Linked DNA regions of Macaca mulatta. Each later gene encodes a partner of the first gene's protein in a complex. Links are inferred from orthologs where the notes say so. Each region holds a gene or a part of one and is shown on either strand. Other genes may lie near its edges.

Evidence for each region.
Region 2: the proteins of DKK1 (region 1) and KREMEN1 are in contact, whole or in part, in a crystal structure (PDB 5FWW), measured with the Homo sapiens proteins. The link is inferred for Macaca mulatta from reciprocal best matches to the Homo sapiens genes DKK1 and KREMEN1. Residues at the interface, in NP_036374.1 of Homo sapiens: Cys189, Leu190, Arg191, Ser192, Ser193, Cys201, Arg203, Trp206, Ser207, Lys208, Lys222, His223, Arg224, Arg225, Lys226, Gly227, His229, Gly230, Leu231, His261; in XP_011528731.1 of Homo sapiens: Pro67, Asn88, Asp90, Asp92, Ser94, Trp96, Gly105, Val106, Tyr107, Trp108, Tyr110, Asp127, His128, Gly129, Pro132, Thr140, Asn142, Glu164, Ser165, Tyr167, Ala168, Phe170, Asn189, Val191, Phe193, His196, Asp203, Gly204.
Region 3: the proteins of DKK1 (region 1) and LRP6 are in contact, whole or in part, in a crystal structure (PDB 3S8V), measured with the Homo sapiens proteins. The link is inferred for Macaca mulatta from reciprocal best matches to the Homo sapiens genes DKK1 and LRP6. Residues at the interface, in NP_036374.1 of Homo sapiens: Glu185, His204, Phe205, Trp206, Ile209, Gln218, Val219, Thr221, Arg224, Arg225, Ser228, Gly230, Leu231, Glu232, Ile233, Phe234, Arg236, Ser258, Leu260; in NP_001401174.1 of Homo sapiens: Arg639, Glu663, Ser665, Ile681, Tyr706, Glu708, Thr724, Arg751, Trp767, Gly768, Gly769, Pro771, Val790, Gly791, Arg792, Asp811, Thr812, Asn813, Leu814, Pro833, His834, Phe836, Trp850, Ser851, Tyr875, Met877, Arg1184.

Annotation. Positions count from the first base shown.
Region 1 is NC_133414.1:97,437,717-97,448,513, reverse strand, and holds DKK1 (dickkopf-related protein 1 precursor), read left to right. Parts: upstream 1-4,655; 5' UTR 4,656-4,838; coding exon 4,839-5,081; intron 5,082-5,326; coding exon 5,327-5,489; intron 5,490-6,655; coding exon 6,656-6,796; intron 6,797-6,911; coding exon 6,912-7,165; 3' UTR 7,166-8,014; downstream 8,015-10,797. UniProt on the Homo sapiens protein: Antagonizes canonical Wnt signaling by inhibiting LRP5/6 interaction with Wnt and by forming a ternary complex with the transmembrane protein KREMEN that promotes internalization of LRP5/6.
Region 2 is NC_133415.1:22,477,355-22,488,081, reverse strand, and holds the start of KREMEN1 (kremen protein 1), read left to right. Parts: upstream 1-3,745; 5' UTR 3,746-3,858; coding exon 3,859-3,955; intron 3,956-4,604; exon of another isoform or gene 4,605-4,671; intron 4,672-10,727. UniProt on the Homo sapiens protein: Receptor for Dickkopf proteins. Cooperates with DKK1/2 to inhibit Wnt/beta-catenin signaling by promoting the endocytosis of Wnt receptors LRP5 and LRP6.
Region 3 is NC_133416.1:14,585,884-14,596,100, forward strand, and holds part of LRP6 (low-density lipoprotein receptor-related protein 6), read right to left. Parts: intron 7,414-10,217; coding exon 7,197-7,413; intron 6,721-7,196; coding exon 6,431-6,720; intron 4,365-6,430; coding exon 4,138-4,364; intron 1,909-4,137; coding exon 1,724-1,908; intron 1,096-1,723; coding exon 769-1,095; intron 1-768. UniProt on the Homo sapiens protein: Component of the Wnt-Fzd-LRP5-LRP6 complex that triggers beta-catenin signaling through inducing aggregation of receptor-ligand complexes into ribosome-sized signalosomes.

The DNA.
Region 1 (10,797 bases):
CCATTTTATAAAGAAAAGCCAGCACCACACCAAGAGTTAAGCGGCTTTCCCATATTTAGGAGCCAGATTATGGCTGACACCCTATACAGAGTACCATCCCCAGCCTTCTGACTCCTTGGCACGATGCCTTTCTTGGCCATACCCTGGGAGAAGAGCTGTCTTATAAAGGAGGTAATAATAGGAACTCAATGACGTGGAAGAAAACTGTTTTTCTCTAGATGCGGAGACTGTTTCATGGGATCCTACATCCTGCTTTCTGCAGACACTGGCCTATCCTTAGGGTTGGAGATGTTAAATCCTTTAGGGGACTCAAAGAGGACATTGCACTCCCTGTATCCACCACCACAGACCTTTCTGAGTATCAGGACCTCAGAAAAGATGCAGGCAGATATCTATGTGGTTTAGGCACTATCTTCACTGTGTTTTAGTCAAATGTTTCTGGGTTCCGGGCTCTACTCTCAGATTAACTTTCAATGTCCTGCTCTAGTAAAACACATCTTCTGAGCTTGGTTAGAAAGCTACAACGGAGGCTGATTTATCTGGGCTGACCATCTCCACTGCTCAAATAAACATAATCACGGTCAAATCTTGCCTTCTGTTTGTACTGAGGAGTGCAGAAAATCCAGCTCTCAGGGGAGTCATAACATGGACCAGGTCTAAAAGTTCTTTTAACATCACGAAGAACATTAAGACTAAACTGTTTTAAAAGTCAATGAGAAAGTCGTATCACTTTTTTTACGAAACATCAGGGATGAGGAATCCCTACTATATTCAAGATTGACACTAACAAAAATGTTGGCAACACACACCGTAAGGAATGATATTTATGCAGCATTTTCCTAGCAAAGTAAAAGTGTATGGCAACAAATCTGCTTCTTTTGATTTAATCAAGAGAAAGAAGGAAAGAAGTAAGGTAGGAAAGGAGGGAGAGAGAAAAGAAAAGAGGAAAGGAGGGAATTAAAAATACAGCAGTAGACTGGGCGCGGTGGCTCATGCCTGTAATCCCAGCAGTTTGGGAGGCCAAGGTGGGAGGATCACTTGAGCCCAAGAGTTTGAGACCGGCTCTGCCTGGCAACATAGTGAAACCCTGTTTCTACAAAAAATTTAAAAATCAACCAGGTGTGGTGGCATGAAGCTGTAGTCCCAGCTACTGGGGGGTGAGGTGGGAGAACCACTTGAGCCTGAGAGGTCAAGGCTGCAGTTAGCCATGATTGCACCACTACACTCCAGCCTGAGCGACAGAATGAGACCCTGTCTCAAAAAATATATAAAAATATATTAAATTTTTTTTAAAAAATCAACAGTCACAAATAACAGAGATGGAAAAATAGTCGGTGAATAGCATGGTGTGTTTTGGAGTGTATTTGTCTGTCTCCTTCATGGATGAAAAGGTTGAGAAATATTCTATGTGTGGCATCCAGCACTTAAAATATAAAGAAGACATGTATTATTATGCTGTTCCTGAGTTATGAGATTCAATTCCACACTGATAAGCATATTTCACCTATTTAAAAATATAATACAAAATATTAAACTTGTTACATTAATTATGATCATATTTATACCAGATTGAATAGGAGGCAGGGTTCCCTACAGGACTAAATAAACTCAGTTTAATAAACTAAATTCACCTACCCTGGCTCACACCTCCTCTGTCACCCAGCTGTAAGAGAGACTCACACAATCACCAGAACCTTCTCTCCTTCCTGAGACGTGTTGGTCACAGTTCCTGCACCTTTTTATTGCTTCTCCATGACCTGGTATCTGCCAAAATATAATCGATGGTGGAAAAATTTTTGCCCCCAGCCCCATATAAATATATTGTATTTCCCCAACTACTCACAGACTGAAAGCTTTCTGAGGACAAGAAGCCTGCCTTTCATATTGTGAGATATGCTCCCAATAATGGGTACATGCCGAATATTAACTGGCTGCTGATGGAACAATGAGTTTTACTGTACCTCTTTATCTACCTTGCACTCTTGTTGCCAGTGAGCAAACCACATCCTGGAAAGGATTTTCAAATGGAGAAAAAGCACTGAAAAAGTAAATTTCCTCATTTGGAACAAAGGTATGATTTACTATGTACTTAGCCCTCTCTGAGGACCACCCATGTAATTTCTCCACTGAATAATTTGTGAGGTTACCTCTCCTCTGCCCACTAAATGATTTGAAGGTAGATTATATGAGAACTCATCTTTTATCACACAATATCATGTATAATGCTTAGCACAAAGTAGGAACTCAGGTATTGACCAAATCATTATTCATTTTAAACTCATGACAACTTCAGGAGCAACGTGAAAGATGAGGAAGAAGGTAGAAGCTAGCCCGCTCTTGAACTTCTATGCTTGGTTTAGCTCTCCTGACTCAGTACCACAGATTCTGTCCAGACTCAGTGAATATTGAAACATAATAGACATATGATTTGTTTTCAGAGATCAAGGTTGAATTTATGCAACAAGCCTCTTTGTTGTAACAGAGTTTTCCCTTTGTTGATTAAATTGTTCCACTTTCTTCTCTTTTGCCCCAGGCAATGGATTTTTTGTGTGTGAAACCAAGCTTTTAATGAACCAAGTTCATTAAATGTATTAATCATATACTATCTCTTCAGAAAAAAAGGCAAGAGATTGATCTTTAATGTGGCATAGATGTATTTCTAGATTCTAAATATTTAAACAGGGTAATAGCACTAAAAAGAAACATTTTCAACCTTCTGATTGGCAGGCGGATTTTTCTCCACATTTCAACGTCATTCAAACTTAATACAGCTTGCAGATTTCCTAGTACAGTGAAGGTGCTTAACGCATAAATTCCTGACAGGATAATTTCCTGGGCAGATGGAATTTGGGATGGGAGGAACACTAGTCTAACTAGGGTACCATTCAAGAATGATTTAGATGATGCTCTTAATATTACCTTTGAAACTGAAGGAACTAGAACACAGACCATGGTAAATTGTATTTTAATTACTCTTTACCCCACTAAACTTCAGGATTTTATTACTTTAAGATTGTCACTGGCTTTACTTGGTGGTGGCCCCAGTTCTGACTACAGTAGGTCAGTCAGCATGTGGAGTCATTATAGACAGCCTAAATCTATACAGCTTAGAGGAGCACAAAATAAATATATCTTACTCTTTATTAATTCAATAGTGATTATCCAATCATCTCTCCTTTTTCGAGACTCACAAAACTTTTGCCTATTTTCTGACACTTATAATATCAATCTGTTTCTAAAAGAATTGTGTACATTTTTATATTTATTACTATAATTTTATTGTTACTACATCTTTTATTATTACTGTAATTAGAATAAAGAGAACTTTATTCTTTAAAATGAGAACTGTGTCTCATAAATATTTGTATTCATTGTGCCCCTCCCCCACCACCCATCTCACCAAAAAATTTAAAAAATAAAAATAAGGCAACAACCCAGAGGGCAGCCCAATGCCAGAGCTCTAGGCTTCCAATAAGTTTTTGTTGAATTAAATAGATCATTTCCCATTTATAAGCATGACATCATTCTTATACACCAGCTTTACTTTATTATATCTATACACCAATTTTAATGACGTCAAATTCTCTAATTCACTTCCAGCTCTTCTTCTCCTCAAGGTAGTTTCTTATCTCCCTAGAAGGGGTATTGTGTGGTCCCGTGCAAGGTATGACTTGGGAGCAAACCCTGCGTTCGGAAACATTGCGATATGATATACTAATGAGGAAGTCAGGCACTAAGCCCTAAGGGTTTCTATTGCCCCGCATTAGCCCACCACTGAGAAGGGAGAACGGGGAAAGGCGACTGACCCGGTACGTTGGACCCTGTCCGCTTTGGCCCCGGCCACTTTGATCTCAAGCGTCTGCCTAATCAAGTTCATCTACTGCCGCGATTGCCCTGATTCAAAGAACATTAAATGGTTTGATTATCGGACGGTCATTTCCCTCTTCCCTACAGCACTGATCTAATTTCTAAACCCCAGTCTCTCGCCTCCCTCTCTAAACTTCCCATCAAAAGAGAATTAGCTCTTCTTCCTTCTTACCCTCGTTTGATGTGCAAATTTCCTTCTCTTTGCACATTTTTCTCGCAGAGGCAGGGGGAGAGGGGGAGGAGGGCAACTGAACGACCTTAAACCAGGGATTTAACTCAGATCTGCAAACCGCGACTCTGAAGGGTTAATGAGCAACTTGCACCCGCCACCTGGCCCTCTCAGAGGCGTCTTGCTAGAGCCATTGAATTACAGATCGGTTTGTATTTAATACTGAATATGACTTGTGCGCACAGTCAGCGAGTATTGGCGTAAGGGAGAGGTGCAAAAAGTGCTTTTGCAGAGCGTATCACCCCTCGGCTCTGAAAAGTATTTCAGATCTGGATAATTCAACCCTTACTGCCAGTCAAGGGCACCCAAGTTCCCAGAGTTCCTCCTGCCGCCTGCATTTATTAAAGTCGTCTGCTATAATGCTTGCTGCTAGCCGTCACCCCGAAGGTGAGCCGGGCCAGCCGAACGACCAAGCAAGGGAGGAGCGGGGTGAAGAGTGTCAAAGGCTCCCCTTCATGTACACAAACACACCCCCTCCCAGCCCCTCCCAGCGCTTTGAAATCCCATCCCGGCTTTGTTGTCTCCCTCCCAAGGGGCCGGAATGCTCCGGGCCCGCGGTATAAAGGCAGCCGCGGTGGCGGTGGCGGCACAGAGCTCTGTGCTCCCTGCAGTCAGGACTCTGGGACCGCAGGGGGCTCCCAGACCCTGACTGTGCAACCGCACCGGCACGGTTTCGTGGGGACCCAGGCTTGCAAAGTGACGGTCATTTTCTCTTTCTTTCTCCCTCTTGAGTCCTTCTGAGATGATGGCTCTGGGCGCAGCAGGAGCTGCCCGGGTCTTGGTCGCGCTGGTAGCGGCGGCTCTTGGCGGCCACCCTCTGCTGGGAGTGAGCGCCACCTTGAACTCGGTTCTCAATTCCAACGCGATCAAGAACCTGCCCCCACCGCTGGGCGGCGCTGCGGGGCACCCAGGCTCTGCAGTCAGCGCCGCGCCAGGAATTCTGTACCCGGGCGGGAATAAGTACCAGACCATTGACAACTACCAGGTGAGAGGGGTCGGGCAGTCAGAGGATGCTCTGACCTTGAAAGGGTCCTATTTGGAGAGGAGGGAGTAGAACGTGCTGAGTGTGTGAGGTTCAGGGAGCATTTGGCAACCCTGCAATTGGGAGCAGTGGGCGGTAGCAGGTTTTGGAGAGGTAGACAGATAGGGACTGTGATCAGCGCCCGGGTCCAAGAGGGCGGGTACCTGGACGTCTGGATGCCTCACCCTCTCCCCGAACCTTTCCCACAGCCGTACCCGTGCGCAGAGGATGAGGAGTGCGGCACTGATGAGTACTGCGCTAGTCCCACCCGCGGAGGGGACGCGGGCGTGCAAATCTGTCTCGCCTGCAGGAAGCGCCGAAAACGCTGCATGCGTCACGCTATGTGCTGCCCCGGGAATTACTGCAAAAATGGTGAGTCCTGAAAGCTCCCTTCACACTAAAACTGTCCAGCCTTTGAGCGTCTACGAATAGGGGGGAAAAAACTCCGCCCTGAGAACTCTGTGGCGCCACCTGCAAATGGGTCTTCAGCATGCAGGATTCCGCTGAAGTATCTTCATTGCAAGTGTTTAATCGGGAAGAAGAGAGAAGTTCGGAGGTCTCTGAGGTCCTTATCTTCCTCCGTGGCCCTCAATGATTCAATGCAACGGCTCACCTCGTAGTGGACCATTCCATAAAAATTTGTCTGGGAGAACCTTGAGGTCAATTGAGAAGAGAGATGATGGGGAGGACGATGGGATCATACAGAGACCAAAGAAACCAGCTTTGGCATTCTGCTACCCTTTTCATTTTTCTTACTGTGACTCTCACGGCTTTGCCAGATTGGCCTCTCCTGATTTTTGCTGAAACTGTTGTCAGCCAGAGGACAGTGATTTATCTGCATGGGCCATTTTTAAGAGAGATCTTGATATCCTCACAACCTGACCCCTCCATCCTTCCCCCTCCCTCTACCCTCTGCTGCCTTAATATAAGTACTCCTCCCCCCAACCACAGATCCACTAACTTTTAATTTTTCAAAAGGTGGATTTAGACAGCTAAAGAGGTCTCCAGAAATAAGCTAACAGGGTGACGACCCGCCTTAGGACCCAGCAGTACTCCAGGATGAACTAAGTAAATCTCTGTAATATGGAAATTACACAGTGAAGTAACTGGTGGGTGAGATTGCAATGTCCCAGGCAGCTGGAATTGCGTTTGCTTAACTTAGTCTGGCAGGACCCATATAGCACCAGGGGCAGAGAAGTTATTTTTAAGAACATTTTTTAAAGCGACTGATTTTCTTTTTCTTATCCCAAGGGTAATATTAAAATGGGCAGAAATCTCACTTGCCCCTACCACAGTTGGTGGGAAAGTATTTTAAATGGCTATACTAGGGATATTACATATGACTGACTGTATACAGTATACACATTTGTGCTTCTGTCCATCTAGAGAGTTTTGCATTAACAGTAAAGAGGTTTAAAATGATGTCACTGCAATGAAGTATCTCAAGTTGGTGCTGGCATGACAGACTGCCACTGTCATAGCTGTCAGCAGTAATGCATTACAACCCTGAAGTTAATCACTATTTCCTGCTTCTTTAGGAATATGTGTGTCTTCTGATCAAAATAATTTCCGAGGGGAAATTGAGGAAACCATTACTGAAAGCTTTGGTAATGATCATAGCACTTTGGATGGGTATTCCAGAAGAACAACATTGTCTTCAAAAATGTATCACAGCAAAGGTAAGGATGTCAAGACTCATTCTTAGCACATCAAAAATGTCTTTTGAATTGTTTTAGTGAAATGATGCAGGTTTAACAGTAACTATGTACTTTTTTCCTGCTGTCTTCTTCATAGGACAAGAAGGTTCTGTGTGTCTCCGGTCATCAGACTGTGCCACAGGACTGTGTTGTGCTAGACACTTCTGGTCCAAGATCTGTAAACCTGTCCTCAAAGAAGGTCAAGTGTGTACCAAGCATAGAAGAAAAGGCTCTCATGGGCTAGAAATATTCCAGCGTTGTTACTGCGGAGAAGGTCTGTCTTGCCGGATACAGAAAGATCACCATCAAGCCAGTAATTCTTCTAGGCTTCACACTTGTCAGAGACACTAAACCAGCTATCCAAATGCAGTGGACTCCTTTTATATAATAGAGGCTATGAAAACCTTTTATGACCTTCATCAACTCAATCCTGAGGATATACAAGTTCTGTGGTTTCAGTTAAGCATTCCAATAACACCTTCCAAAAACCTGGAGTGTAAGAGCTTTGTTTCTTTATGGAACTCCCTTGTGATTGCAGTAAATTACTGTATTGTAAATTCTCAGTGTGGCACTTACCTGTAAATGCAACAAAACTTTTAATTATTTTTCTAAAGGTGCTGCACTGCCTATTATTCCTCTTGTTATGTAAATTTTTGTACACATTGATTGTTGTCTTGACTGACAAATATTCTATATTGAATTGAAGTAAATCATTTCAGCTTATAGTTCTTAAAAGCATAACCCTTTACCCCTTTTAATTCCGGAGTCTAGAATGCAAGGATCTCTTGGAATGACAAATGATAGGTATCTAAAATTTACATGAAAATACTAGCTTATTTTCTGAAATGTACTATCTTAATGCTTAAATTATATTTCTCTTTAGGCTGTGATAGTTTTTGAAATAAAATTTAACATTTAATATCATGAAATGTTATAAGTAGACATGCATTTTGGGATTGTGATCTTAGACGTTTGTGTGTGTGTACGTATGTGTGTGTTCTACAGGAACAGACGTGTGACATGGTTAAAGATGATCAGAGAAAAGACAGTGTCTAAATATAAGACAATATTGATCAGTTCTAGAATAACTTTAAAGAAAGACGTATTCTGCATTGATAAACTCAAATGGTCATGGCAGAATGAGAGTGAATCTTACATTACTACTTTCAAAAATAGTTTCCAATAAATTAATAATACCTACCTAAATGGTCAATATTTTTTGGACAAGGAAGAAAATCATCCACAAAAATAACACTCCAAAGTACTTGGTGATTGGCGGGAACAGGAAGTGTGCCCATAAATACAGTTAACAAATACCTGCAGATTTTGTACCCAACAAAATAATTTGCAGTATCTTAATTACTACTACATGCAAAGCAGACTTATTCTAATTATTTTGGTTTTAAAATAATTATTCATTGAAAATCACAAATCCTTCTTCATTCCACTCTTTTTTCTCTTGCTCGGTGAGTTTAATATTTCAAATTTTGTTTAACCTGAAATCTATTGATTGGAATGAGGATAGGGATACAATATTTTAAAGAAAACCCACAGGAATGAAATCTAAATTTTCTTTGCATTTTTACTTGCCAGATTTCATATTATTTATACTGAGGAAAAGGGAAAGCAAACTTCCCAATTTACACTTTTTTTGTAGTATTCTAAAGTCTGCACCCAAACCACAAAATGCTGCGTTTTGGGCCTGCAAAGGATAGTAGTGACTGATCAATCAATCGTGCAAATATTTCCTTAAATAATGCAGATGTACTAGACTGTTTGTTGTTTTTGTGTTCCTGGAAGTCGTTCAGTTTCAAGGGGCTCAACCAATGGGACACAAGCTTTGGGTGGTTCTTCACTGAAAGAGGAACTGGCAGGATGTCTGCTGTTACATTCCTTTTGTCTGGAATTCTCAGCTTCCTCACCCAGGAGAAACTTTCTTTTTCTACATTCGCTTGTTTTCTGAAGTGCCAGAAAGGCCAACTCTAAGGCCTGCCATGTCCAATAAAGCACAATAAAGGAAAGGAAACAGGAAACTTTTTCTTCAAAAAGAAGAAAGAGAGCATTCTGCTTAAATGGGGAAAGAAGCAAACTTTTAAAGGGCTCTGGTTATTGGATCCTTTCCTTTCTACAGGAACGGACCTCAGTACATTGACCCTAGTGATAGCCTTTCTTGCTTCTCATCTCCAGATGAGAGATGTGTGGAAGAATACAAAACAAACCAAAGATGGACACCTCTTCTTCCTATCCAGATGAGAAATTAGGAAGGGATTTCCATTAAAAAGAATTCTTCATATTTGTAAAGGTGAAAAATACCAAGAAAATTGTAGATTTTTATTAGCTAGTAATAGAGGCTAGAAGATGGAAATCAGATAAAATACAAATTCAAAAGAGGATTATTTAAGGAATCTAAAACAATTTGGGTAATGATTGTTTAAAATGTCTGTTGTTGTTGCTGTGTGACTTTTAAACAATGTATTTTAATGGAAAATACATGCACCTGGGAAAATTTCACAAGGTATTTTATCTAATGTCAGTATACTCTACACACTGTCCTGCACGTTGCTTTTTTACTCTATGTGTCTTGTAGATCATTTTATATAATACATAGAGAGGTGACTCATTCTTTTTAAAGGTTACATTAAGTTTGTAGTTTGTTGGAATGGCAATACTATAATCATTTTAACCAGTGACGTTTAAGTTGTTTCGAGAGTTTTTGATCTAACAAGTGATGTGTCATGAGTATAGAATTTTCATGTTCATGTGCTAGTATAGTTATAGGATGACTAATATTTGAAGCAAAGTCCAAAATGCATGCTTTCTGCAGCTACTAATAAAGTCTGGTATGAGCAAAATGTCCAGATGCCTGCTTATCACTGACCAAGTGATGATTAAGCTGTTGCTAAACTGTATCAAAGAAGAAAAAGGGAAATACAGGCTTATCCTAAAAATTTCACAGTGAACAGTAATCTCTGGCATTCAGTTAAAGCTAGACTTGTTCTAATTACTTTGATTTTGAAATTATTACTAAATACAATCACAAGCCTTTTCTCACCACTCCCTTTCCTTGTTTTGCTAGAAGAGTTGAATATTTCAAACTTTGTCTAATCTATTGATAGGAATGAGCCTGACCCTTCATTTTTAAATTGGTGACATTATCAAACTTTATCATGTTACCAACTTTCTTTTATAGTCTTAAAGAAAAAAAGACAATACTACCACTAGGCTTATAAAGTGTCTTCCATTGATTTCTGTGATTGCAATTTTCATACCTTCTAAGATACTATTCTGAGGGCAATGTCGAATTATAAAAGAAATACTTTATCTTTACATTAAAGAAGAAAATACTCTCATAATTTAAGCTTTTGATACTTGTACAAAAGTGTGGGTACGTATGTGGTCCTTTATATATTGAGTGTAAGGTCGACAGCTTAGAAATGGTCAATCGCATCAAAAATCTAGGACTACTATCTAGGTAATGCTAAGAAATTTTAATTCAATATACATGTATTTAGTCTGCCATGTCCAGTGGGCACTATGCTAGCATTTGAAAAGATGCGTATAATATTGGTCTTTAACTTCAAAGAACTTACTATTTAGCAAGGCAGACGATGAGCATTAGTGCTGGAAGTTGATTTAGTTTAGTGGTTAGAAACAGTCTCTAGAACTGGATAGATATGGGATTGAGTCATGGCTCCCTCAGTAATGTAGATATGAGAGTAATGCATGCATCAGAATACTATTATGTCTAGCTCAATGCAGTCACTCAATTTTAGGTCTTTGCTATTGGACAATGAAATGTATATATTATGTTGTATTATCTTACATACATTAATACCTGACAACAGATTAAAATTAATTAAATCAGTCAGTAACTACTCAGAAAAAGCTTCTGAGAAGAGGTGGTATTTGAACCATTGCCTTCTCTCGCCCTTTTATTTCAAGGAAGCAAAAGCACTTAAACTAGAAAAAGGAGACATGAGTTG
Region 2 (10,727 bases), on another chromosome or scaffold:
CTAAACACCCCAGGCATGTAAAGCACTGAAATGAGTATCCCGGGTTGCTCTCTGCCAGAAGCCAGGACCACATAGTGGAGCAAAAGACCTTGAGCTGTTAAGCGCCATGACCTAGACACGCCGGGCTGTATTTTTAGCCTCTTGTGCACTGTTTCCATCACCTGTGCTGGGCTTTCAGCTGGAAAAGAGAAGGTGGGGGTGGAGAAGGCTAGAGGGATGTTTCTTACCGCAGCCAGTGCCAGGAGGAGCTTGCCAGGATTTCCGAGTCCTGTTGTACAACAGGGCTATTTTCATGGGTGTGCAACAGGTATATTAACATAGGCCCCCTTGCTACTTGCTTGGAAGGGCCTCATACATGCTTTATCTTTTTATCTTCTGCTGTCACTGTCTTGAAATTCTTTTTTTTTTTTTTTTTTTTTGAGATGGAGTCTTGCTGTGTGGCACGATTTTGGCTCACTGCAACCTCCACCTCCCAGTTTCAAGCAATTCTTCTGTCTCAGCCTCCTGAGTAGCTGGGATTACAGGCGCCTACCACCGCTCCCGGATACAATTTTTTGTATTTTTAGTAGAGATGGGGTTTCACCATGTTGGCCAGGCTGGTCTCAAACTTCTGATCTCAGGTGATCCACCTGCCTTGGCCTCCCGAAATGCTGGGATTATAGGTGTGACCCACGGCGCCTGGCCTGTCTTGAAATTCTTAATAAGTTTGGACAAAGGACATACGTTTTCCTTTTTTTTTTTTTTTTTTGAGACGGAGTCTCGCTCTGCCGCCCAGGCTGGAGTGCAGTGGCGGGATCTCAGCTCACTGCAAGCTCCGCCTCCCGGGTTCACGCCATTCTCCTGCCTCAGCCTCCCGAGCAGTTGGGACTACAGGCGCCTGCCACCGCGCCCGGCTAGTTTTTTGTATTTTTTAGTAGAGACGGGGTTTCACCGTGTTAGCCAGGATGGTCTCGATCTCCTGGCCTCGTGATCCGCCCGTCTCGGCCTCCCAAAGTGCTGGGATTACAGGCTTGAGCCACCGCGCCCGGCCAGGACATACGTTTTCATTTCTCACTGTGCCATGCCAATTATATGGCTGGTCCTAAGGAGTGCACATGACAGAGAGAGCCAACTGGAGGAGGGGCTGCTGCCAGCCCAGGAGGGGTGCCTTCCCACAGCAGGCAGGGCAGACCAAAGCTACTATCACAGGGCATGGCTGCCCAGACTTGGCCAAATAAACCTTGTTTCCAGCCTCCTGGGTGCCCTTCCTATTTTCTTCTCTGAAACCTGAATGAGATGTCGAAAGAACCTTGGAAACTGTAGAGAACTGTGTCCTGCTTTGCTAAAGTCTTTCTCTGGCTTCCTGTTTAAAGTAGCCCAAAGGTTAGCTGGGTGTGATGGCGTGCCTCTGTAGTCCCAGCTACCCAGGAGGCTGAGGCGGGAGGATCATTGGAGCCCAAGAATTGGAGGCTGCAGTGATCCATGATCTCATCACTGCACTCCAGTGTGGGCGACAGAGGGAGGCCTTGTCTTCAGAAAAAGAAAAAGAAAAAAAAATCCACAGAGCCTTCAGTTAACATAATTTTCTTGTCTTTGTATTACTTTTTGTTCTCAGGAATTTGCGTGTTTTCAGATTGACTAGAATGTAAGTTCCAAGAGGAAGGTTTGGTCTTGGTGGCTGTGTCCTCAGCCCTCAGCAAGTTCCTCGCTGAATATTTGCTGAACAAAGGAAAGTTCGACTTTATTGTTTGCTTTGGGCTGAGGGCTTCACCTGCATCTTCTCATTTCATTCTCTTCAAAGGCACTGCTGTCTGGGAGGGCACAGAAGTCCCAGAGTAAGGGTTCTCAGGTCCGGTGGAGAAGGTGGGAAGGGCCCAAAATTGTGGAAAAGGGGAAAGCTGGACAAAAATGGGGATCACCGGTGGTAGGAGGTGGGGGGCTCCCCAGGACCGAGGCTGGCTGGGTGAGGGGATGGTGGGTGCCCCTAAGCTCCAATAAGAAGATCAGAGGGTCCTTGAACTCGGGAGTGACACATGAAAACAATAACTGGACAAGATTCTTCTTGCTACAGCGCTGAGTAGTGTGGGTGGAGAGGGACAGAGATTGAGAGGCCTCGTGGGAGGTAGCTGCGCCCTTCGGGCCCGGACCTGAGAGCAGCCGTGGGTGGAGAAAGGAGTATGGGGGAACGCGGGCTCTGGGAGTGGGCAAGGGGGCGGCGCCCGGGGGTTGAGGGGGCCCAGGGGCGAGTGTACCTAAGGCGGGCCTGTCCCGCCCAGCCGCGCTCTGGGTGCGGCGAGTCTGCACACTGGGGCAGATGTTCCCGCCGCCGCGCCGTGCGCAGGTCTGCACTTGCAAGCCCGGGACCAGAGACTTGAAAGCTGCCGGCGCGCCGCCCAGACCTGCCCCGCCGGGCGTCACCGCTGCGCTTTAGGCGGGAGCTGTAGGAAAATCCCCTCTGCCTTGGGGGAGGGCGGGGGAGGAGGACGGCCCACGACCGACCCCGGGTGAGGCAGGGAAAGACCTTGCCGGGGTCGGCGGGGAGGAGGGCAAAGGGCCTACCACACCCGGGCCGAAAGTTTAAGCAAGCCGCGCGCTCTCTGATGCCTAACATCCCAGGCTGTAGGATAAGCAGCACTATCCCATCCATTTCTGGTCGTTGCACTGGGCGTTTTACTTGCTTCTATCTCATCGACTCCTCTGAAGGCCTTTTATTATTCCTATTCTGCAAACGGCTGAGCCTCGGACACATCAGGAAACTTGCCCTAGTTGAAACTGGCTATGTGATAAGATACGGAACCAGGGGGTCAGTATGTGGCTGCAAACTTGGGGTGGAGAAAGGAATTCAACATTTGCTGAGCTCCTACTGTGCGTGCGTAAAAGCTTCCATGCTTTCGTTTTGTTTTGTTTTTTGAGACAGGGTCTTGCTCTGTCACCCAGGCTGGAGTGCAGTGGTGTGAACAAGGCTTGCTGCAACCCCGACCTTCCGGGCTCAAGCGATCCTCCTGCCTCAGTCTCCTGAGTAGCTGGGACCACTGATTTATTTTTTTTTTCCTGTAGAGATGGGGTCTCACTGCTTTGCCCAGGTTGGTCTCGAACTCCGGGGCTCAAGCGATTCTTCCGTCTCGGCCTCCTCCCAAAGTGCTGGGATCCCAGGATTTGTTAGCCACAGCGCCCGGCTCTAGGCGTTCTTATTTAGTGCAACCGCTCTGGGGAGTAGTAGCTATTATCACCTCCATTTAACAGATGAGGAAATTGAGGTAAGAGCTATTTTTCCTTTAAACATGTCCAAGATCTTACAGGTGACCAAGTGGGATGTGAACTCTCCAAAGCATTCTTTTTTTCACCATTACGATGAGCTAAGCAAGGGAAAACAGCTTGCAAACTGCTGTTGTAATTATTATCGCTGTAGCTGAGCTCGCGTGTGGGTCACGACCCGAGTGAGGGTGGAGGAGGGGTCACTGGGAGCCCGGCCTATTTCAGCCCGGCCAAACCGCTTGGTGACTTGGAGGCCGGGCCGAGGCCCCGCCCTCACCTGCTGATCCCACCCGTGAATGGGACAAACAGAGGGCCCTGAGGGGCGGGCCCAGGTGAGGCGAGGGATGGGCGGGGCCTGATGCGTGAGTGGCAGGAGAGGCACGCGGCCGGGGCGGGGCGTGCGCGCGCGGTAGGCTCCGCCCTCCGGGCCTCTCCGCGGATCCAGGCGGGCCCCAGGCTGCAGGGGCGGTGGCGGCGCTGAGCTGGGCGGGCCTGGGCGGGGCGGCCGGGCAGTCGGGGCGGGGCTACACTCGGGCCCCGCGTCCTGCTCCCATGGCCGCTCCCGGCTCCCCGCGCTGCCCCCTTTCCCCCGGGCCGCGCCCCGGGGCCCCGCACTGACGGCCCATGGCGCCGCCCGCCGCCCGCCTCGCCCTGCTCTCCGCCGCGGCGCTCACGCTGGCGGCCCGGCCCGCGCCCAGCCCCGGCCTCGGCCCCGGACCCGGTGAGTGTGAGCGACCCCCGCCGCCCGCCCTGAGCGGAGCACACTCGAGGGGCGACAAGAGCCGGCCGGCCTGAGGGCCCCCTCCCTCCCACCTCAGGACCTTTCGGGCCCCTTCCCAGGGCCCCTCGGCGACGCCCCTCAGGCTGGGACGGTCCCTCCCTGGGACCTGGGCTCCCCCCAGGCCCGTCATCGACGCCCCCGGGCCGGGTACTGTCCCCCGGCTGCAGGACCCGGTGCTTCTCAGCGACGCCCCTCAGCCCAGGACGCCCCCTTCGCCTTGAGACCTCCAAGGCCCTCCGCGACGCCCCCCGGGCTGGGACATCTCCTCTGTCTTGGGATCCGGGACCCGCTGCCCGAGTCCCTCAGCGACCCCAACCAGGCTGGGACGCCCCCTCTCCCCGGTACCTCCTGGGATCCCATCCCAAGTCCCCAGCGACTCCCCCCCGGGCCGGGGCGACCCCTGCTCCCCGGTACCTCCTGGGATCTCGTCCCAAAATCCCCAGCGACTCCCCGCGGGCCAGGACGCCCCCTGCTTCCCGTTGCCTCCTGGGATCCCGTCCCCAAGTCCCCAGCGACCCCTCCCGGGCCGGGACGACCCCTGCTCCCCAGTACCTCCTGGGATCCCGCCCCAAGTCCTTCATCGACGCACCTTGCACTGGGACGGCTCCCCTGCTACAAGAGGCTACATCCCTCTCTGCAAGACCCTCAGCGACATCCCTCCCCCGGGCCAAGGTCCCCTCCCTGAGCCTCACTACGACGCCCCCGCGTCCCCCAGTCCTCTCCTCCCTCCTACACCGGTGGAACCCGGCGCCTCCCCGCACAGAGCAGAGCGGAGGCGGGAGGAGCCGGTGCTCAGCCCCTTTTCCCGAGTCCTCGGCTGCACCCGCTTGGCGGACATTGTAACTTCTGCCTCGCGAGGAACGGGATGGACTTGTTCGCCCTGCTAGAGGCAGGTTAGGGTCCTGGGACGACCTTGTACCCAGACGGACGGGACGTGCCCTCTCTCTCCGCTGGGCCGCTTTGAACTTCCGTATGACTTAGGTGATGGCGCAGCAGGGGGAGAGGAAAAAGGAAGCGGTGATGGGAAACTTCTCCCCTACTGAGCTTAGGGTGCTCTTCCTAAGGGTGCAACGCCGAGCTCCGTGTTTCGGTCACCCCACACCTTAGACAGGTCACTCACTCCCCAGGCCAAGGCCAAGGCCAAGGCCAGGTCTTCCCGAGGGGGGCTCTGGTCCAGGATGAAGCTTGGACTTTGCTTAACTTCCACACGCAACTTTGTAGCCAAATCCTTTCTGAAGTTGAAGAGAAGGCAAGAGGGCGTTGCATTTCTCTGCAGGTTGTTCGGATGTTGAGCATAGGACATTTGTGAAAGGGATGGGAAGAGTTTATTACCAGTCTGCAAGAGTAGGAAAACCCGCCTCTGGGTTCACCACCCAAAGTCACAGACTGATATTGGAAAGGATGGGATTTTGCTGGTGTAAGAAAACTCAGAGTTGCTTTGTTTACTTATTGGCTTGGATTAGCGAAAAAGCTAGGACTTGGTATTGTCACTTACTGCGTGACTTTGGGCCATGCCTTCAGCTCTCTGAGCCTCAGTTTCCTCATCTGTAAAGACAGGATAACTTTGCAGAGTGTTGTGAATATTAAATGATATACTGTAGGTAACATACCCACATATAGGAGGGAGTCAATAAACATATTTTAATAATACTTTTATAGGACCTCACAGTTCATCGAGTGCTAGACACCTCATTTACCCTGGGAGTGCTAAGAGCTTTCTGTCTGATTCATTTCTGTAAAAGGCAAAGCTTGGCTTTAAACTGGTAGAACTGGGGTCTCCAAGTGTTGTAAACCTGAGGCTCAGTGAGTGGTTTCTGAGTGATCACTGCCTTTTATGGGACTTCTACAGTATGATCGCTTCTACTGTTGTGAGGAGTGACGGACATTCCGAGAGCCAGGATATGTCAACATAACTGTAACCTAGTAACCCCTTAGCTCCACTTTGCTATCTGTGTGGTCAGGATTTAATGTCCCCTACAAAGAGAGAGGTATGGGTGGAAATAGACTGGTTCCCCTTCTGGAAAGGGCAGAGTAGTAGCTCTGAAAAGCATCAAGTGAGCCAACTCTGCTTAAGTTTGTTGGAAGCTATTCTCTTCCCAGATATCTTTGCTTTTTTAAGATCAAATGCAGCAGCTCTTATGAAGTTTGCACCCCAAATTTTGGTGTACTTTTATTTAGGAGTCTGGGGTAAGGGCAAATAATCATTGTGAAATGATTTGTGATAAGTGGCCCAAGTTCCCAATTCACTGAGCCTTGCCAGCTTGGTGTCTTACCGTCCTGGTAACTCAGTGCTTTGCTTTTTTGACTTTTCCTGCCTAGTTGCAGAAGCAGTTTTAGGGAGATACCACATGGTCTTCACCAACACATCCTGTCTAGATCCTACCCACTAGCTTTTAAAATCTTTTCCAATAAAACACACACACACACACATTTTACTCTGAGGATATGCCAAACTTGCCATTTTATATTTTTTGATACTGTAATTTTCTCTAAAATTTTGTGGATGGAAAAAATTATTTCAATATTTGTATTCTGCGCAATTTTGTAATATTTAAATTACTGGTGGTTTGCATTTTTGAATGCTGACTTTATAAAAACAGTTAGCTCATTCCCCATCAATCCTACTTCTAATTACAATGTGTACCCAACCCCAAATGATCTCCCTTTTCATTCTTCCTCTAAGATTCTCTTCCTTCCTTCACAACTTATAAGAAGGAAAATAGAAGGTAATGGAATCTAGACTTTCCTTCAAGGAGGAGTGCAGCTAGGGCCATGCGGTCGATGGGTTCTCTGTAGTGGGTCCCATCTGGAATGTATGGAATTTATGGTCTACTCACTTGGGTGTTTTACTACCTTTAGGGTCTATCAGATGCGCATCAACAGAGCTTCTCCACTCAGGTTATGTTTGCTGTGAATACCTTTTATAAGTTTATAGATTGATGCTCATTCTCCTCTAACTCCTCATCTGGAATTTGCCCCACTAGCCAGTAGTGTGTTTGCCATAAAACCTATGAGTTCAGTTAACAGCTAGAGTTCATACTGTCTACCAATTCTTGGCCTTCTTAGGGACTTCATTAATGCTAATAGAATTATCTGTAAGCAATATAGGGGCTGAAGCAGTGAAGGAGTGAAGGGTGCACACCAGTTACTTGTATGCTCTGAGTATTTTAAGAAACACCATTTCGACGTGGTATCAGAGACCTCTGATATTTTTGTGAAAATATATTTTGGCCCCTAGGCAAACTATTTAAATCTTTGAGGCCAGGCGCGGTGGCTTACGCCTGTAATCCCAGCATTTTGGGAGGTCAAGGCAGGTGGATCACCTGAGGTCAGGTGTTCGAGACCAGCCTGGCCAACATAGTGAAACCCCATCTCTACTAAAAATACAAAAAATTAGCCGGGCATGGTGGCGGGCACCTGTAATTCCAGCTACTTGGGAGACTGAGGCAGGAGAATTGCTTGAACCCAGGAGGCGGAGGTTGCAGTGAGTCGAGATCGCACCATTGCACTCCAGCCTGGGCAACAAGAGCAAAACTCTGTTTCAAAATCAATCAATCAATAAAAAATATTTGAGGTAGGCAATGAGCCCTTTTATAAATCCTAAAGCAAGAAAGCATTCCTTTTAGGCTCACTACTCATAAACAGAAAGTTGATACACTCAATATAGATATTATTGATACACTCATGGTTTAACATAGTTAGACCAAAAACAATAAATTAGTAAGATGAAATACATTGTTTTAAATAGCTTCACAATATACAGATTAGGGATTTTTGGTGATGGGGAGTATACCATCCTTAATTTAGAATTTTTGAGTATGGAAATGTCAACTGATAATCTAGGTCAGGTATGGGCAAACATTTTTTGTAAAGGGAAGATAGTAAATAATACGAGATTCATGGGACTTACACTATCTCTGTTGCAATTATTCAACTCTGTAGGGCAAAAGCAGCATAGACAAAAGATAAATGAATGGATGTGACTATGTTTCAGTAAAACTTTATGGACACTGAAATTTGAATTTCCTATAATTTATTTATTTATTTATTTATTTATTTATTTATTTATTTATTTTTAGGGACGGAGTCTCACTCTGTCACCCGAGCTGAAGTGCAGTGGCGCAATCTCGGCTCACACTGCAACCTCTGCCTCCCGGGTTCTAGCAGTTCTCCTGCCTCAGCCTCTCAAGTAGCTGGGATAACAGGCGTGCATCACCATGCCTGGCTAGTATTTTATTTTTAGTAGAGATGGACTTTCACCATGTTGCCCAGGCTGGGAATTTCCTATAATTTTTATGTTAAAAAAATACTGTTCATTTGATTTTTCAAAACTAAAATATTTTTTAAATTATAGATTTTTAAAGTCTTAGCTTGTGGGCCATATAGAAGTAGGCAGTGAGCCAGATTTGGGCCACAGGCTGTGCTTTGCCGAGTTCTGTTCAAGGTCCATGTCTTCTGATTTTTTTCAGTGTTCACTGGTCTAGAAGAGGTGACAAGGAGGCTTGATTTTGGTGAACGAATGAAACTTTTACCATTTACTGTTAACTAACTTTAAGATACATATGGGAGAAATGGTTAAAATGGTAAATTTTACGTTATTTTTTACCACAATTTTTTTAAAAAGATATGTATGGGGAGAAGTTCATGCACATACATTTGGGTCTTTAATAGGACTTTTAGACCAGGCGCAGTGGCTCACGCCTGTAATCCCAGCAGTTTAGACGACCCAGGTGATTGGATCCCTTGAGCCCAGAAGTTTGAGACCAGCCTAGGCAACATAGTGAGACCCCATCTCTGTGAGACCCCATCTCTACAAAAAATAGACAAAAATTAGCCAGATGTCGTGTAGTCCTAGCTACTCAGGAGGCTGAGGTGGGAGGATCACTTGAGCCTGGGAGGTCAGGGCTGCAGTGAGCTGAGATTGTGCCACTGTACTCCAGTCTGGGCAACAGAGCAAGACCCTGTCTCAAAAAAAAAAAAACCTTGAAAATGTCCTAAAGAGAAATTCAGCGTGGTTCAGTGTGCACTACATAAATAGTGCCTGCCTTGGAACTGGCCTATGGTTTGTTCAACTGTGCCTGCAGATGTTGCTTAGAGCAAACCGTTGAGAGATCTATTTCTCAGAGGAAAGCCCAGGCAGCAGGTGGCACCAGCCCTGACACAGAAAAACAGCCAGGAAAAAAAAAAAAGAAGAAGAAGAAGAAAACAAACTTCTGTCACTTTCCTAAGCAGTTAATTTTTATTTTCAAGGTTCTGTTGTCATATTTAAAGTCGTTTTAAAAAACAACAATGTGCTTAGCATGGCTGATTATTTTGTTTTAATTAAAACATTTCTGAAAAAACAAAATGAAACATTCAAACATACCAAGTTGATTGTGCTTGTACTGTGGAACAGTTAATGCAAAACACTTGAGAGAGGCCGGAAGTTTGGATCTGTAGCTTTTGCCTGAATGTCTGCCGCCTGAATAAGGACAACATAGGAGGAAGTGAATGTGTCCCTTAGAAAACTACCTGTATAGGTTTTGAAGTGAGATCCAGCACCTCCGATGCCACTTGGCAGGTTACTTTCTGGCCGGCTCACTGTGCAGCCTCGTCATTGGTGAGAATGATGATTGACATTCCTTCTATATTCAGTTTGACCTTGAGAATCCAGCTGGAACTCGTAAGTATTAGTCTAGGAGGAGCAGTCTGAGGTCACTCTATTTTTCCTCCCTCTCTTATCTTCATAGTCTTCCTCCCAAGATGGCAGTGCTTCCCTCAACCCTCACCTCACCTTCTGAGACTTTGCCTGGATTCATACTGATGAGGGAAAGGAAAGAGGCCATCGTAGAAAAATGTCACATGGGTGTCCATACACCTCACAAACAACTACTTCACAGAAACGTGACTTCTCCTCTTCTAAGGGAAGCCCTTCCCCGCTTTTTAAATTCTCTTTCTAGGTAAATACCTCCCTAGCCTGGGCTTGTACCAGTTTAAAGAGGAATGAATGAATTGGGGTTCTAGGGAGCACCTTGGCAGACAAAATGTTTTAGGCCACCTCACACGCAAGGTTGCCTCTCTCCCTGCATTTACACAACAGGGCCGTCTCAGAGCTACCCCTCTGCTGGGCCCAGCTTCTAGCTTCCCTTGCCACGGATTTAATCGCTGGCAAGTAGCCAAAGCATTAAACTTTTATTGTTCAATTTGCCACAAGGGTGGGGCCCTGCTTCTAGTGGGCTGAGGAGGCTGCAGCCGCTTCCAAACCCAAGTGTCACACCACATTAGCAACTGCAGACTTTGAGGGCTGGATTTCTTTCAGTTTGGTTAGATTCTTGGTTAGAACCAGAACAGTATACTCACACTCAAAATTTTAAAGCTAGGAAATAGTAAAAACAGTGTAGGCAACTTTTAAAGATGAATCAGAGTGCTTGTAGTTATCAGCATGTATGATTGACTCTGCATGGTTTCTTCATACCTTCCAAACAGACATATTAGATGGCCATGCATGTGCCTTAGTGTCCTAAAGTTAGATGAAAACATGGCAACCAAGTAGTTTTCTTCTAGACTAGTAGGGACTGCTAACCAATCCCATCACAGTATGTAAATTACTTGCTGCTGTTCAATCTATAAAAATTCATCTTCAAAGAAAATTATTGGGCTGGTAAAAATATTTTTAATAATGACCACAGAAGCCATATTTGTTTTTCTTTGATGTTCTTCTGAAGACCCTTCT
Region 3 (10,217 bases), on another chromosome or scaffold:
CAGTTAAATTGCAGCTGCCTACTATGTTCATTGCATTTTCTCTTTAGTTTCTTATCAACTATTACTTGATACTGCGTTACATGTTCTCATATGCATTTTCTGTATGGCCTATTACACATTTAAATTTTTCAAGAATGTCCTACTCTATGCACTTCAAAGGACAAGTAAGTTGTGTTTTGGGATTCTGTTTTACTCCTTTACAATAAACACGATGCATGAAACCATGCAAATTTTACACTTAATATTTAACGTCCAAGGGTGAAAGACTTAATTTTTCCTTTTTTTTAAAGAAAGAATCTGTGTCACCCAGGCTGGAGTGCAGTGGTGCCATCACGGCTCACTACAGCCTCAATCTCCTGGGGCCAAGTAATCCTCCTACTTCACCCTCCTGAGTAGGTGGGACTACAGGTGCACACCATTACTCTGGCTAATGTTTTTATTTTTTGTAAAGACAAGGTCTCGCTATATTGCCTAGGCTGGTCTCGAACTCCTGGGCTGAAGCATTCCTCCCACCTCAGCTTCCCAAAGTGTTGGGTTACGGACATAAGACAATGCACCAGCATAAGACTTAATTTTTCTATAACATCAAATTGCTATCATCAAACAAGTAGTAAGTAACAAAAACTTGCATTCCCCTACCCTTTAACCAAACAAATGATCCCCTCTGGATTCCCACAATATTTTACTTCAGAAAAAACACACGCTAAAGTACTTTGAAAATGCTGCTTTCTCTCACTCTAGCTTGCTTTGGAGGGACATGCAGCTTACCACTACAAGTCCTGTTGTCAGCATTAAGAGCGTAGTGGGCAGGGCATCCACAAACAAAACCCCCAACTGGCACAGCCAAGCAGAGGTGGGAGCAGTGCCCATTGCTGGAAGCACATTCATTCCACCCTGACTGTCGAGATGAGTGAAAGACGAGGATGTCCATCACATAATCCAAATGGCCCTGAATGATGGTGCGGTTTTGGCCACTGGTTTTGTTGGCACGCTCAATGCTGCGTCGGCTCCAGTCCGTCCAGTAGATATAATCTTGGTACTGAGTTAAGCCAAAAGGATGAGGCAAGTCATCTGCTATAACTTCACGGTTGAGTCCTATTTTCAGAAAGGCAGTAGACAGGGGAGAAGCAGAGTGATAAAATATGTGAGAATACAAGTGTCTTGTTGGCAAAAAGAAAAAAAAAAAAGCCCTAACATATAAAACATTACATTGTAAGCAATTTAAAATAGAAAAATTCATTTAAAAGCAATTCTAAAAGCAGACCAGTACTCTGAATCAATCTATCTTCTGACCCCATGCTTCAAACTTATATTCCTGCTACGAATCACTCAGTTTCCTAAAATTCTTGCAAATGGTCTACTTTAAATGTGGTTTTCTTTTCTCTATATAAGGGTCTACAGTTCATTTTTTCTTCTTGAACTATAAAAGGAAAAGATGGAAATATATATATTTTACTGGTACAAAAGTCATTTCAGGAGTATCTAGGGAGTTATAAATTTCATTACAAGTCCAATAATAATGAAACTTTCAAATAATAAAGAGATGAATCCAAGTACCTGGATCACTATTAATAATAACAAATAGGATACAATTCCAGAATAGAAGAAGAGTGGACACATTCATATGAAGTTGTATTAAAAGTATCTAACCAATGATAAATAGCAGCCACTGATTTTTGCATGGAAAGAATATACTGTCTGAGTAAAAAGTAGTAAAGCTTACCAAGCATATTTGAAGATTCTATTAAGTTGGTGTCCAGGTCTGTCCAGTAAAGCCTCCTTTTAGCATAATCAATAGTCAGGCCATTTGCCCGCCCCACATTTGGAACTAAGGTAGTGCGTTCACTTCCATCCATTGCAGCTCTGTCTATCTTAGGTTTTCCACCCCATTCAGTCCAATACATAAATCTAAATTCAAAATAATAAATATTTAACATTTCATTTTTTAAATTATCTGGGGGTCATATTCATGCAAAGTAACTAAATAAATTTAAAGAAAACATATAGCAAATCAAGGAAATGGGTAAAACAAAATCATGGCTACAATGCTTTCAATTATTTTGGCACCCTAAACTAAATATTTTTTTCCGTATCCCAAAAAGGAAGTGAGTCAGCTTTCTTTAGTCTTTCCAATGAATTTGTTCCATCCAAACCTAGGAATTGGAAATAAACCAATAGTTTATTGCAGTACTGGCATTTATAAAACTAATATTCAAGAAAACAGCAAAGGTTTAAAGCTCTGGTCTCAGAATCTGGTTCACTTCTGAGTAAAATTTTTTATATATTTTTGAATATTAACTAATTTGAGTTTTTAATATGCTGAACTTACTTTTTGACTTGTGTAATCAACTTTTCCTCAAAATAAGTTGCAGAAGTACATGAAAGACAATTATAAATACTAACCCTTTAACTGAAGTCAAAAGCAAAGCTTGAAAATGTATTTGGTCATAGAGTCCAAGGGAGCATACTATATGGTAAGAACAACACATCACCCCTCGATGTGTCCACTGGGCAATGAACACTACACTACTACAACAATCCGTGAAATTTTAGAATAATTATTTTGCTGTTATTTTCCATTTTTGAGTTCTGCACTTTAATCTTACAGTAATTCTACAGTATAGGCTTTTTATAGATGAACAGGCCAAAACACTACAAGAAATGTGAACAATTTATCTAATGTCTTCAAGCCAGTTACACGACAGAGCTGGAACTAGAACCTAATCCTTGGCCAAATGCCCTTTTCAAGTCAACTAGTGAGGTGCTAGTTTTTGAGACTCTTGAATATTGGAACTGAAAAAGCACTTCACATGCCAGCTCTCACGAAATACTTGAGGACAGATATTCACTCATCAGCCTGTCAGCTGATAGCTGACTTGGTAGCAAAGCATGAACATGCTTTTCTGAAAACTGAAGGTGTCCTGCCTTTATATGCATTTGTCAATTGACAGGCATGTGCACACCATAAAAGCCAAAGAGAAACAACTGAGAGATAAATTTCATACTTGCCAGCAGCAACCAATACCAGAGTCTTTAGTCTCAACTATTAAATTTATCCGTCGGGCAGCTAATGTTTAGAGCAAAGATCACCACAGTATGTCAGTGCTGACTAGATGAATTCTAATCATGGAATCAATGTCATTTCAGTGAAACTATTTTAAGTAGCAAATATAGTAAACATGTTTATATGTTCACATTGTTTACTACTATTTCTTTTTTTTTTTTTTTTCCAAGACAGAGTCTTGCTCTGTCACCCAGGCTGGAGTGCAGTGGCATGATCTCGGCTCACTGCAACCTCCACCTCCCGAATTCAAACAATTCTCCTGCTTCAGCCTCCTGAGTAGCTGGGACTACAGACACATGCCACCATGCCTGGCTACTTTTTTTTTATTTTTAGTAGTTACGGGGTTTCACCATGTTGGCCAGGCTGGTCTCAAACTCCTGACCTTGTGATCCGCCCATGCCTCGGCCTCCCAAAGTGCTGGGATTACAAGCATGAGCCACCACGCCCAGCCTGTTGACTTCTTTTATAAGTGGAATTTTTCTTCAAATTTCAGATTTCTTAGCTGCTGGCTTTAAAAAATGTGCTGACTCTTGTAAAAAGGAACACCCGCCCTTGAAAAACGTCATGTTGTAAACAGTTTAGTCTATCTTGTAATAACAACGCCACTGCCAGTTTATAATAATGATCAAACCAAACTATCCATTTTGAATTAATAAATACTCCAAAATAAAGCTTTTTAAACGTAGTTTTTTCTTAGCTCACAACATTGTTTCAGTGGGTTTACTTCAATAGGCTTGAAATCTAGTATAACCGGAAAGGAGTGCAAGCAACTATAGATGCATAATACCTGTTGGTATATATATTTAACATATCAATATACTCATCAGTAACATTTGATTATCCATTTCCCTCTTTCCTCACCTAAAGTTAATTATGACAAAAGTAAAATTAGCTAATAATTATTTATTCAAATCAGCAAAATATCAATAGTGTTTTTAAAAGCTCATCTATCATTTAGTTCTTAGATTCCTAAGAAGTATTATTTAAAACATTAAGAATATCATCTATAACTATGCCATGTTCCCCAAAATGTACACTGCAGTTGCAAAGAATGCACATGTAAAGCTGTTTACCCTTCGGCAGGGTCCAACGCCAGAGCTCTGGGACTATCTAGGTCTTTCCACACCAAAACTTGTCGATGCTGCCCATCCAACTTTGACACCTCAATTCGATTCGTTCCTGTGTCTGCCCAGTACAAGTTCTTCCCAAGCCAGTCTACTGCCATGCCTTCTGGATAATCTAAGCCGAATTCTACCACATGTTCCAGTGCACTGCCATTCATAAAGGCTCTGCTGATGGTCTGTAAAATAACATCAACAACTAAGTCATATGGCATAAGTCAAAACCCAATCCAGAAAGAAGGTTTGGTTTGGTTTTTGTCAGGGGCAAGAGGATCCAGAAGTGACAAGAGGCATACTATTTCCTAATAAAATTCACATAACTTGCAAGTGCAGAAAAATTTGATGTGAATCTCTAATAAATGCAACTTCAAGTTTTACTGCCAACTCAGTGGGGAAATGTTAAAACTCTAAAGAACCAAAAACTTATTCTACTAACAGCAGAATGACTTTACTTTTAAAATTTATCGGTAATCAAGTGGAAAAGCTGTGACCGCAATGCTACAGATCTTAACAAGCAGTCAATTTTCTTTCTTTTTTTTTGAGACGGAGTCTCGCTCTGTCGCCCAGGCTGGAGTGCAGTGGCGCAATCTCCACTCACTGCAAGCTCCGCCACCCAGGTTCACGCCATTCTCCTGCCTCAGCCTCCAGTGTAGCTGGGACTACAGGCGCCCGGCTAATTTTTTTGTATTTTTAGTAGAGACTGGATTTCACAGAACAAGTAGTCAATTTTCAAAAGGTGCTTAAGATTATGGCAAGTCATCATGCCTACCATATAAATGAATGTAACCATTATACTACCATTATAACTTTGAGCCCCATAAAAGTTTTAAAAATCATAATTCAAACTAATAGATACTACATCTTATTAAATATTATCCTAAGTACGTTTTGTCCACAGATTTTCTCATTTAATACAACAGTCCTGCAAGTATGGCATTACCTCTATTTTATTTTATTTTATTTTTTTGAGAATTAGTCTCATTCTGTCACCCAGGCTGGAGTGCAGTGGCATGATCTCGGCTCACTGCAACCTCTGCCTCCCAGGTTCAAGTGATTCTTGTGCCTCGGTTTCCCGAGTAGCTGGGATTACAGGTGTGCACCACCACACCCAGCTAATTTTTGTATTTTTAGTAGAGACAGGGTTTTGTCATGTTGGCCAGGCTGATCTCAAACTCGTGACCTCAGGTGATCCATATGCCTCAGCCTCTCAAAGTGCTGGGATTACATGCATGAGTCACCACATCCGGCCACCCCCCATTTTCAAGATGAGGAAATTTAGAAGATCACCCAATGCAAACCAATATTTATTTCATTTATTCACTTAATAAATTTAACTGAACACCATTAGAATCCAACTCTGACTCCAACACCCCATGTTTTCGCACATTACAAAAAAGTTTACATGAGTTATCTGAAACAAGCCCAAAACAATCTGGAAGAAGAAAAGATTATTCTTCAGATTTATAGGTCTGGAGCTTCCTCTCTCTGGCTATCCTGGTATTCTTTTCGGTAACTATTCTAGGAAGAAGAAAATAAAGAGTAACTCATTGTCGGCCTTTTCCGCCTCAGTCAGACCCTAAAATTTTGTTTAAAGTAAATCAAGAATTTTTGTTTAAAGTAAATCAATAGCCATTTTATGTGAAGCACACATTTCCTTACTCAGCTAATTGCAGAAAATGTCATTCATCATTTTCAAATGGAAGAAAGTAGAGGAAGACTACGGCTAGGAGAGTTAAAACACTCTGGCAAAGTATCTTATATTAAAAAGCATCTAAATAAAATACTGAACGGGCCTTTCCCTTCACTTAAAAACGTAAGGGTTTTGGCCGGGCACGGTGGCTCACACCTGTAATCCCAGCACTTTGGGAGGACGAAGCGGGCGAATCATGAGGTCAAGAGTTCGAGCAGCCTGGCCAACATGGTGAAACCCCATCTCTACTAAAAATACAAAAATTAGCTGGGCGTCATGGCACACACCTGTAGTCCTAGCTGCTTGGGAGGCTGAAACAGGAGAATCGCTTGAACCTGGGAGGCAGGGGTTGCAGTGAGCTGAGATCGCACCACTGCACTCCAGCTTGGGTGACAGAGCGAGGCTCCCGTTTCAAAACAAAAAAAAAACTTGAGGGTTTTTCTTGAACTCTGCCTGTCAAGCAATGAGGGAGGTGCGTCACAGCATGAAGATTCAGAAATTCTAGAAGTTCTCCCTTTTAGTCCCTAGCTTTAATATTCCAACTCTTTTGCTAACCTTGAGTGATATATCAGTCCAATAAATTCGGTTGTCTGTCACATCAAAATCCAAAGCAGAAGCTTCTTTGACACCAGTGAGTGGAATAGCCACATTATTATTGTTTGTTTCCAAAGAAATTCGTCTGATGTCTGCTCTCCGTGAAAACAAAAGGAAAGCCTCTGGGACAATGCAGGTCTTCATGTCACTGATGAGTTCAAAGCCAATAGGGCAAGCACAGCGAAGGCCCTGAGGTCTGTAAAGGCAGAGATGGCTGCATCCCCCGTTTTCCTCAGCGCAGGGGTTGGAACCTAAAAGATTAATTATAAAAGGGGCACAGAAGAACACACACATTGACACATTCAACATATTTTCACTTTTAAATTACTTAAGCCTTTGGTTCACAAATGCCTATCTGCTCCCAATCTCAAGTTTCAATTCTAATATCACAAACAAATAATATGCAGATTAATAGGGAGTAAAAGCATGGTGAAGTATTTTCCTTTAATATCCATAGTAAGCTTTAAAATAAGGTATGTTATTCATACTATCAGATGGAATTCTTTGGATGAAGGTGTGCCTGTGCATATGTATTCAGTCCTTCAATTCAAACCTGGGTAGCTAGAGTAGTAAAGTCAACGTTTAAAAGGTCCCTTCTTAGTATAAAAAGAAGGGGGTAAAGAAGATTTCTAAATTGCCTCAAAACATCAATAATTTACACTGCTGACTATCTCCATCTTTTTTCATTCCTGGTTTCCGTTTCTAAGAAAGCTTTGGAGTTACTTACCAATTACTCGATGAACATTTGTGGCCTTTAGGCCCATGAGGTCAGGCAGCTGATCTATGATCACTTCCCTCTCTGCACTTCGTTTATGTACTCTTTCAATGCTACGCCTCTGCCAGTCAGTCCAGTAAACGTAGTCACCCAACAAAGTAAATCCAAATATGTGAGGAATTTTGTCTTCCACTAGTACTCGTCTCCCAGTGCCATCAGTATTCATAACCTTCAGGTTTAAATTCAAAAGAGAAGAGGATGAACGATGTATTTATTCTTCATGCAAAAATAATAAATCCAACTGCCTGTTGTATAAAAATCCAAGAGTCATCTTGGTATTCCTATTACAATGATTTCTCAAAATTACGTGATGATTTCATAAGAATGATTTCAAATATTCCATATAAGCCTCTATTTGACCACTTTTCCCCCCAATCTCATATTATTCGTCCTTCTAAAAATTCTGTCAACTTTAGATTATGCAACTCTTCTATTAAATGACTGTGGCAAAATTAAAAATACAGTATCATCACCTTAAGTTTGCACATTTATTTTCAAATTATAATGTACCTTCACATACATTGTTTTATCTTATGTTTTGTTTTATAACATATTTTATTTTATCCTGAGAGCTTTGCCTATGGAAACTGAGATTCATGTAAGGTCACAGAGCTTGTAAACACAGTTGATGTCTTTTTCAGGACTCTTTCCACTTAGCGTGCTTTTTATTTTGTTGTTATTGTCAGTAACAACAACCAACAGATAAAACGGATCTCAATAATTATCTCTCATTCCTGAGATTATAATCACAAAAGTCTATCTGGATTATATGACACCCTCTCTGCATCTAAGTTTCAAGAAACTAGGATGTAACTTCTCTTTCCAACTACCTAATAGTAACATTATTAAATTCACTCTGGCATTCATATTGCATTCACAGTGCATTCACCATGCACTACTCAGTGTTGACTTAACTTGGGATACCTTTATTGACATAATATAACTAATATTTGCATGTAAGATTATATCTGATACTTTTTTGCAGGGTAGAAGCAGATATTGTTCACACGTACATGTTTTTAGTATGAAATAACATTTCTAAAGGCTAATTTGCCCAGCACACAGGCCCCTTTAAGTGGCAGAAATGGTCTCAGGTAGGGACTTGAACAATGGGACTCTGGAAGGCTTGCTCCATCTTTCAGAACAGAACAAGATCTTCTCAGTTTCTACTGCAGCATTTCCAACTGCATTTCCAGGAACATGTACTGCTACCTCATCTAAAATGTCATATACTTAACTGTACTGCTACCTCATCTAAAATGTCATATACTTAACAGTGAACCTATGTTCTGCATTAGGGACAGTTCAATCAGTCTATCAGGGAGCACCCAACACAGAGTGATAAATATTCCGTATTATACAACACTAAAATATAACTTTCTTCCAAGTTTGTGGTATGTTAAAATATGCCTGACTTGGTTTTATTCTCAGATTTAGTTCTATCTTATTTTGCATTATCTTACATGTAATAAATTACACTAATTTTGCTGATCTTTACATTCAAATGTTGGCCTTCCTATTAAAATTTGCTGGTGTAAAAGCATAAACTAGATGTCCAATATTAAACTTTTAAAGAATAACACTTATATTTCTACTTCAAAACTATTACAGGATCAACTAACAAAATCTTTTCTGTTTCAGCTATATCACTTTACAACATTTTTGTTTATTTTGATAAATAGCTTAAACAAAAGATGGATGATTAAGTATGAATTAGGAAAATGGGACTGGGTATGGTGGCTCATGCCTATAATTCCAGCACTTTGGAAGGCCAAGGCAGGAGGATCACTGAAGCCCAGGAGTTCAAGACCAGCCTGGACAAAATGGCAAGGCCCTGTCTCTACAAAAAATACCAAAAAATTAGTCAGGTATGGTGGGATAAGCCTGTAGTCCTAGCTACTCAGGAGGCTGAGGCAGGCAGATCGCTTGAGCCCAGGAGTTTGAGGCTGCGGCGAGCTATAATCAAGCCACTGCACTCCAGCCTAAGTAACTCCAGCCTAGGAAAAAAATTTTAAAAAAGAAAGAAAATAGGTAAGAATTAAATTAAAAATCATTGTGAGAAAAATAGTAAATACCACAATTCCAAGACCTTTTTAGTAAACATAATTCTGTGTCTATTTACCAGTTTCTCTTCATTCTTCTACTCTCTAAAAAATTTCTCATGATCAGCAAGTAATACTGTGGCAGAAACAGATTCAAATATAAGCTTTATCACTCAGTGGGTACCCTTAAGCAAGTTCTCGCAAATAAAATAGGGACAGCGGGCTAGGCACGGTGGTTCATGTCTGTAATCCCAGCACTTTGGGAGGCTGAGATGGGCGGACCACGAGGTCAAGAGATGGAGACCATCCTGGCCAACATGGTGAAACCCTGTCTCTACTAAAATACAAAAAATTAGCTGGGCGTGGTGGCGCACACCTGTAGTCCCAGCCACTAGGTAGGCTGAGGCAGGAGAATCGCTTGAACCCAGGAGGCTGAGGCTGCAGTGAGCAGAGATCGTGCCACTGTACTCCAACCTGGCAACAGAGCGAGACTCTGTCTCAAAAAAAAAAAAAAATAGGGACAGCGCCACTGCCATCACTGAATTAATTAAGGATCAAATAAAATAATGCTAAATATATAGCACAGTATTAGGTGCACTACCTGGCAAACACTGGTTCCTGCCCTTTAAAATCATTTTATTAAAATGCTTTAGTTCCTAAATGTAAACAGCTACATGATTGTATTTAATTATTTAATGTAGTGCTTCAAAATAAAAATACGTAAATATAAAAGAATACATGAAAATAAAAGACCAAAACAACCACTCACTGTTAAACTGGAGACAAAAACCAAGAGACCTTTATCTATCCTGAAACCAGTAGGAAACTACACAGCTACAGCCTCCCATTTCCTACTCCCATTTTTATTGTTTACTTTTGCTAGTTAGATATAAAGTAACTAAAACAGTAAACAAAAAAAAGCAAATATTTG